Caenorhabditis elegans: one gene and its partner. The protein of the gene in region 2 purifies or fractionates together with the protein of the main gene of each other region. This does not show direct contact. Each region holds a gene or a part of one and is shown on either strand. Other genes may lie near its edges.

The links.
Region 1: the proteins of dgn-1 (region 2) and F26F4.12 fractionate together in Caenorhabditis elegans (co-fractionation; one large-scale study listed by BioGRID). This does not show direct contact.

What each region holds. Positions count from the first base shown.
Region 1 is NC_003281.10:4,908,392-4,912,160, reverse strand, and holds F26F4.12 (ANK_REP_REGION domain-containing protein), read left to right. Parts: upstream 1-2,122; coding exon 2,123-2,209; intron 2,210-2,263; coding exon 2,264-2,458; intron 2,459-2,505; coding exon 2,506-2,809; intron 2,810-2,999; coding exon 3,000-3,109; 3' UTR 3,110-3,201; downstream 3,202-3,769. Other genes in the region: F26F4.2 (PDZ domain-containing protein), read right to left, coding at 213-446, 495-629, 677-781, 829-900; F26F4.9 (Glutaredoxin domain-containing protein), read left to right, coding at 1-154, 1,067-1,218, 1,263-1,404, 1,499-1,582; rom-1 (Rhomboid-related protein 1), read right to left, coding at 3,339-3,662, 3,713-3,769.
Region 2 is NC_003284.9:10,925,853-10,930,730, forward strand, and holds the start of dgn-1 (Dystroglycan 1), read right to left. Parts: upstream 3,147-4,878; 5' UTR 3,044-3,146; intron 1,968-3,043; exon of another isoform or gene 1,763-1,967; intron 1-1,762.

The DNA of each region.
Region 1 (3,769 bases), on a different chromosome or scaffold from region 2:
AGTTCAAGACAGAGAAGCCGATAAGATGCGATTGGCAAGACAGAAACAACAACGAGAGCACGACGAGAAAGAGAAAATTGAAACATCAAAACGTGAAGAGAAACTGAAAGAAGAAGCCGAAAAAAGGCAACGAGAATATGAAGAACAAGAAAAGGTAGTTACTTTAATCAAATACAAAATATTTATTGCCTCCAAATCGTACTCTTTTTCGCTCAAACAATTTTCTTCCATTTGTTGCCAATTTTGATGCGAGCTGGCACAAAATCGGGGCACTCGATCTCCAACTTCAATTTCTTCTTCTCCTCACGATCAGGAATTGTGACTTCAACATCCAACTCCAAAATCACTCCGTTGCACGAGACGATTGGCGAGACACGAACTTGATCAGTCAAGACCTTGCATTGGAGTTTCTTTGCCGCAGAAGCATTGGAACCGTTGCGAATTTCCTTCAAAAAACTATTATTATTTTGGGGACTTTTTTTGAAGAGCAATACCACAGTCTCCATTTGTTCCTTAGTCGAACTCATGCAACTGTACTCGGAAAGTTTCTTGCTCTTCGAAGATTTCTCAGATTTCTGCAGAGGCGGTGACAGAGACAATGGTCTTGGCTCATCATGGATCTGCATGCTCTAGAAATTTGCAATTTTATTAAAAATTGAGCCGGCATCTACTGAACCTTTGAAGCAATGACATCCCCAGTACTACGTCCGATGGTTCCATTCAACGGTTTGGTCACTTGCACTTCACAGCGGTCCCCTTTCTTTGGCAAAGCGAGCAAAATCTGAATGATTTAGAATGAAAGTCTGAAAATTTCATTGAAAAACATACCTTCTCGACTTCATTGATGGTATGAAGAGAAAGACCATTCAAATAACAGATCGTTGCATTTGCATCCGCCATCTTTGAAACTAAAATCCAAACTGATTTCAATCGAAGATTTTCATATTGAACAACAAAAAAAAACAAACACGCAGTTTGTAGAGCTTCACGGAACGAACTTTTTATTTATTTATTAATTCTTTTCTACTCTTTTTGAATTTTGAAATTAACAGAAATAAATTTTCAGACTTGTAACGTACTTGGCCACTCGTCATCAACATCGTCTGTATTAAAAACATCAATTATCAATAAAAACGAGAAAGCCATCAAAATTGTGGAGAATATTCCGGACTCAGCGCCAATTGTGGTTTTTGGAGAAAGCAACTGTCCAGAGTTTAGGTATAATGAAAGGCATTTTCAACAAAAAACATTAGGTTTTACAGAAAAGTTTGTCAATTGGTGTCAACATATCGACTCGATATCTCGAAATTTCAAGTTTTTGAGCATGATAAGCAGTCAGATTGGCCTGGTGAAGAAGTATTGAAAGTGATGGAAAATCGATTTAAAACCAAAAAATCCCCATATGTAAGTTTCATATTTTTCCGAACGCTTTTCTTAACGACAGTTTTTTATTAACCACAAAACTGAGATAAAGTAGTTATTTTTAAAAACGTTTCAGGTATTCGTGTGCGGAGAGTTTATTGGAGGCCTCGAAGGTATACGAAACTACGATAGAACACATGGTCTGGATAAAGTCAAATAAATTTTGGAGAGATGATATCTTGAGATCATGTAATTATTATTTATTCATGCCCCCTCGTTGCCAGCTCCTTTGTGATAACTAGATTAATAAAATACATTCCGTTATTCATTGTGTTTCTCTGTTTAATATATTTGTGTAAAATATACGCTTTTTGATATTTATATAGAATTTTAAAATATTAAAACTCAGTTTCAGATTACTCTTCTTCAGAAAATTCTAAACAGATGCGAAAAATAAACAATTTTCTATCAAGATTACGGTAGCCGGTCTCGACACGCTTTTTTTGTATGGCAACTTTAAAAAAGAGTACTGTAGCTTACACGCTTTGCTGCTGCACCATCTACTTATTTTCTCTTTTGGACTTGTACCAATTTATTTTGAAAGGTTACCAAGAGAAAACGATAAAAGAGGGCGTGGAACCTACAGTACTCCTCACAGGTTCAAACTCTTTTGTGGGCGTCTCGAGACCGGGTATCGTATTCTTGTTTCAAAAATACAAAATTTCACAGTTTTGTAATAGAAATTGAATGTTTTTGTCAGATGACAGATCAACACATGGCTGATCAAGATATCAACGATTTTGAAGCTCAGGCAAATGCGGAAGATGGTGTCAATCTGGGATTCACTGTGAGAAATCTTCTCAAAGTGCTCTCGTTTCAATTAATTGTTTCGATTTTGCAGAAAGAGTTGATCGATGAGATTCGGGATAAAAAAGAGAGCAATCCGGGAATGTTTGTATCGGCATGGCAAGATGATACAGAAGGACTTGAGGAGAAAAATATGGAAGATCCGATTGAAAAGTGGCTGACTGCTGCTGAAGATGGTGAGCTCGAATTGGTCAAGGTTCTATTGGAGGAGACACCGAATTTGCTGAATGTTAGTTTTATATAATTTTAAACTGTTCTAAACTATTTTAATTTCAGTCTCGAGATGCCGATGGATACACAGCTCTTCATCGTGCTTCATACAACAATCATTCACCAATAGTAGATCACCTTCTGTTATCTGGAGCCAATAAAGAGTCAAAAACGAATGAAGGATGGACTCCATTACTTTCAGCCAGTAATTGGGCGAATTTTGAAGTAGTTGGGCGTCTTTTGAGTCATGGATCCGATGTCAATGCTCTCTCCAATGGAAATTTGACAGCTCTTCACTTGGCAGTGAATAGTCGAAGTGAAGAACCAGAAAATGTGTACATGACTGTCAGATACCTCTTACAAGCTCCAGGTATAACACATTTTCAAAAAATATTTTTTTACCAAAAAAAATTAAAATTTATCAACGAAAACGTTTTAAAGATCACAAAAAAATACCGGGGAACTTATGATAAAATTCATACTAATTAGAGAACCAAATAAATTTATTCAAGATAGTTAATAAATTATGGAATACTCAAAAATAAATATTATTTCTACAGGAATCGACGCTGGAGTCATAGCTGGTAACGGAGATACCCCCTTGATGATGGCTCGGCGAACTTCTGAACAACTCTACAATGCAATTCGCGATTTTATGGAACGACCTTAAAGCTCTAACCTTACTGTGAACGAATCTCAATTTTTGGGTTTATGGAGGCGGTTGTTTATATTTTCCAATTTATTTAATTAAAACATGATCTGAAACGAGAATCTTCATCATTATCACAAAGTAAGCACAGAAAAGCCATCAAGGAATGTATGGCGGTAGTTCAAAACAAATACAAATAAAGCTAGAACCCGAGGAAAATGTCTATATAAAATTATAAAATTATTAAGTTCTATGAGCAATTTTCGTTGTTCCACAAATTTTTGGAATATGGCTGACGAACAATCACAAAAATAATAGTGGTTGCAAAAAATGCAGAGTATAGAAATAGGCAAACATATCGAATTATTTTCTCAATTCGATGTTCTACTACATTATAAAGTACTACATATCCAAAGAATAATCCAGTGACTGCTCCAGCAATATGGGCAAGATGTGACACAGAATCACAGTCATTTGTATAGAATCGACGATGAATGGCTCCACCGAAATCCAGAAAGATGAACACGAAGAGCACCAGGACTCGGATCCATCGTAGTGGCATTTCATGCCAATTCTATAGATATAGAGGTTTAATTTTATAATTTCTTTAAAAATTGGACTCACCAGAATAACATTTGCTACATGTGCGAAAATGAGAGCATAAACTCCTGCGGAAGCACC
Region 2 (4,878 bases):
CTAACAATGCCCTCACGACATTTTCGAGATCGCATAATTGTCGTCGAGAGCGGTAATCCTGGGAATCTGTGGGACATACGGAAGGTAAAAAGATTGAAGACGTGAGACGAGATGGTGACACAAGAAAGAGAAAAATGAGAGCAGGTGTACATTTGACTGACACTAGTGCTCCGTTGACAACCTGTGACTGAGGATTACCTTATTTCACAAAAAGAACACACAAAAACCCAGTGAGAAATGATCGTCTCAGTTCATTGTTCTGACACCTTTCCGTGCGCGAAATTGGTTGGATTAACGTCCAGTGAGGAACGTATTGAAGATGAAACGAACGTGCTAATTAAATGAACGATGAGGATGATGATGGGTGCCGTTTGCCATCTATTAGGCATGGATTACCTGGCTTAACGTTCTCGAATTGCTTGAATCGACAGCCACTGTGCAAAGGGTAATTGTATACACTTCTAACACGGGAACACCGGAGACAAAACGTACTGCTAAAACTGAGACTAACACGCCTATTGTTCTGGTTTCGTACTTCGACTGCTAGTAGTCAGCGCGTTCGTCTCATTCTCATTGTCCGGATCCCCATGTTGACAGGAACCAAAAGTATTAGACTTTTGTTTTTTAATAAAAAAATGAAACGGTAAATCATGAATCATTCCTCAAATATTTTTCAGCCACCAGCTTCCATTAAGTCAATTTTGACAATTTTTCCAAAAAAATATTTGGTGTAAGAGCAAAAAAAAAGAAAGTGATATCACAAGAGATTAATTGAAAAATTCCTGAAGCACACTCCTGTGAACAAGCTAAAGTTTTTTGGTCGCTCACAATGAAGCGGACATAAATCATTATCAGACTAGAGGATTAAAAGTTTGTAATGTTGCGGTAAAATCTTTAAACTATATAAGCATAATCAGAGAAGTGCAAATTTAGTTAATTCAAAATGTTAGATCATAAATTCAGTTATTCAATGTGACCGTATTCATATTAATTTGGAGCCGATTTTCTCATAAGCTGTTGAAAATATCTATTCACCACCGGGCAGATCGTAAACCATCTGATTGAATACAGATTTCCTTATGTAATCTATCCGTATTGTGCAATACTTTTGACGCGACAACGAGGGCAAGAAATGGCACTGTGTGCAGCTGCGCGCGTTGAAGCAGATGCTTGTAACGACATAAAAGAGCTCCTGCGTTGAAGAGATGGCACACAAATGGGGGCACGATTCCATCACATATCATCAAATTGAGAAGAGTCAAGGAATGGACAAGGACGTTTGGACAGAAATCAGATTTGGATAGCGTAGATTTCGAGTAAAAAACCCCGCGTCAAAAAAGTTTCCTCAGCAAAAAAGAGAAAGTTGTGCGTATGGGTAGGGTCAAGCACGAGGCAAGCCCTGTTGACCAAACATATAAAGTGAGAGGCGAAAAATGTGGGGAAGGACGGAGATGGTCCTATTTGGTCGGCTCAACCTCATAAAGTTGCGTCACCGTACCTGTGGCCAGGTGTGTGCAGGATGGAGCAAACGAGGAGGCAACGATTGGAAGATAAGCCTAATGACTGGGTGTTCAGACGTACAATGCGGGTCCGTTTGGAACAATTACAATTTTTCTTGGTCAATTCAAGACGGATGGTGATATTTATAAGGATGAAAGAAGAACGGATGACGAGAGCTAATCAGAAATGGACATGCGATACGTTACGGCTACGAAGAGAGAGGAGGAGGAAAATGGCATGCAACATTTGAGCAGTCTAATAAAGCCGAACACAGATGAAGAACGAAGCGGTGGCCAATATTCAATCTGCATAATAAATAAGCGATCCGTACAAACAAAGACGTTTCCTTCGTGGTCTTCCGTCCTTCCGACACTCCCTACGGACCATGAACCGACCGACATAAGAAGGCCAGCTCCCACGGGAGCTTTTGGTATGGTGTCTCGAATGAATTTTGCATATAAATAGAAGAAACCGACCGAAACATATTGAAAACGGAGATTCGATTTATTTTCCATCTTATCTTTTATTGAGTCAGTTCAGAGGGGTTTCAATTGTCACTTTGACACCTTATTAGCAACCGAACAAAGAGTGCCGGATTTGCTAAGTGAGTGTAAAAACAAGATTATAAAAACAGTGGGCCTTCTTATTCTAGTCTTTTGAATGTTTTGATTGACGTAAGATCTTGGGCCACTTTGTTTCTTTTGAGAATTGCGAAGACGAACATTGTTGAGTAAAATTTAGTAGGGACGAAATTTTTTGAGAATAACAAAACATTTTATGTGCGCCAAAACTTTTTTCGATTTTTTGGTTCTTCAAAAAACTGAAAAACGGAAATTTTCGCTTTTGAGAAAACTGCAAAAACAAATTCTGAAAACACTCCAAAATCGGTATTTTTATACAGAATGCAATATTTTTATTACTGATGACGCCCTATTTCATACAAACAACATACATAAATTGCACTTTTTCAAACTGGACCCTAATTTTTTTTCGATTTTTTGGGTTTTTCGGCTTTTTGACCCACACCGCAAAATTGAAAAACCGAAAAACGTGAAGAACGGAAAACAACATTTTTTGTTAAGATTTAGGTTATTTAGAGAAAAAACTCGGTTTTTCGAAAAAAAAAAACTAGCAGACAATTCATATAATACCTAAAAACCAGGATGTTTTCGAGTTAAGTGAATGTTTCAAAATAAGGACGTCACTCTGAAGTCGTACGAAAATTTTTTTTGAAACACCTATCTCTGTACACATATGAGTAGTCACAACATTTGTGGCTTCGTACACCTTTGAAGTGTTTTTGAATGCACAAACATGACGCCGCTTTTTTTGGATTTGTGCCAAGAAGCAGAATAAGTTTTTCAGGCAAATACAAAAGAAAACATCTCGTTTTCTGTGTACAAAACTACATATATCAGGAAACGAGATTTAGTAAAACATTTTATAAGACTAAAAGAATTGTTTAGTTACATAGGAAAATTTTTTTAATGCCTCGAAAAACTTCCGGGCACGCGTTCGAAACTGGCATTAAAAAAAGTCTCACCTCTATGTGTTTATCAATAAGCCGGGACTAAAAAATGGGTGCGCCAAATTGAAATTTCGTTTTCGATTCTAATCACAAGTTCGGTTCAATACACGTTGTCGTTCTGAAAATCGAAAGTAACTTTTGCAACATATACGTTCAAGACATGAAATGGAGCGGAAAACTTCAAAAAGGGGTGTCCTTTTGAAACTTGGCAAAAAGCGATTTGTATCAGTTGACAGACTAATTTACGATAATGTACATATTGAAGAAACTTTCAAATTGGAACTTCTGAGATCTGATGAATATAGGTTTTTCAAAAAAGAATAAAAAAGCTAGCAATGTGTATAGTTTTGATGTGAAAATAAATATCGTAAGAGAAAAAGAAACACTGTCAGTTGCATACCTCATAAATATAATCAAGGAGGTATTGAAATTGCCGAAAAAACGGTTATCAGAGGAAAGAGATAGCAAGTACGAAATGAAGAATGCAACCTGGAAAATTCGCTTTCTCTTTTGTTGCATCCCTCCTTGTTGATAACACACTATGAATGTGGTTTTGACAAGAAAAACATACGCACACAGTTTGAAGCATTTTTTTTTCTTGTCACCAACCATTCGGATGAATTATACCCGAAAATGTGTGTACACTCGTTGGAGGATAGGGGAAAAAGAGAAAATGGTCAAGGTAGGTAAACAGAAAGCTTTCATAAACGTTTTTCTTACCATTTTTTTGCCTTTTCTTGGGCATAAAAGTTAGAGTTACTACAATGAATGTCAGTGTGGTTTGTACTATTTTCTGCATACGCAGAGGGAAATCAAAAATATCAATAGAGCGAAGAAAAGCGGTGAGTTTCAAAAAGGCTCTTCCCATGAAATATAACCCCCATTGTAATTAAAATTCTGAAAAAAAAACCAGAGTGCAATGAGTTTTTGAATGCGCCGTCTATATGCGTGGCAAGGGAATACAGCTATTTTCATTTTATCATATGTATATTTTCATATCTATATGAAGTTTGCAAATATATAAAACAAATTTTTTACTAATTTCGAAGAGCACATTTAAAAAAGTTGAAATTTAAACGAAGATATTAGATTGCAAATATCAATCTGTAGTTTTGTTTGATTTTGAAGTTATTCAAAACATAAAACGGTAATGGATTTTCAAAAGAAATAAAATAGAGTCTAACAAAACAGAAAATTAGGATTTCCAACAATTTTTGCTTTTGATAAGACACGCTAGATGTTGTTGATCATAAAGCCACGGTAATCATTGTCCTGGCCAAATGTAGAACTAATTAAATTTTGCGACAAAGTCCCTGTTGTCATAAAAATGTGATTTTTCCAGTCCTACGTTATTTAGAATTTAACACGATCCGTCCTGCTATTCAAGGAAAAATAAAATCAGGGCGTTTCTTGTTAGTGGTTTCTCGGTATGTGTGTCCAATACACTAATTACTCGATGGTGATTGAAATCAAATATCAAGACAGGAAAGAGGACACGAGTAACTGATAAAGGTCAAATGCACATTAAACTTAACGCACAAAAAGTTAGGCAATGTCGTAGAAAGTGGTGTGTGAGGAGATAGAATGGTGAGTCAGGAACGGTAGAGGGTTTTCTATTCGAAAGAATAAAAATCTGTTTTCTAGTAAAATTGAAAAGAGTGAGAGATTGAGAGAAAAATAATGGAATAAAATCGGAATGGTGTTTACATCATTTCCATATTAAAATTTTGAATTGGAAATTTAAAATACAAACTACTGGTACATATAGGAATATGAGATACTTTGAATTTTCAAATTTACAGTTTAGATATAACTGCATAATAATACCTTTTGAAAAAGATTCTTATACT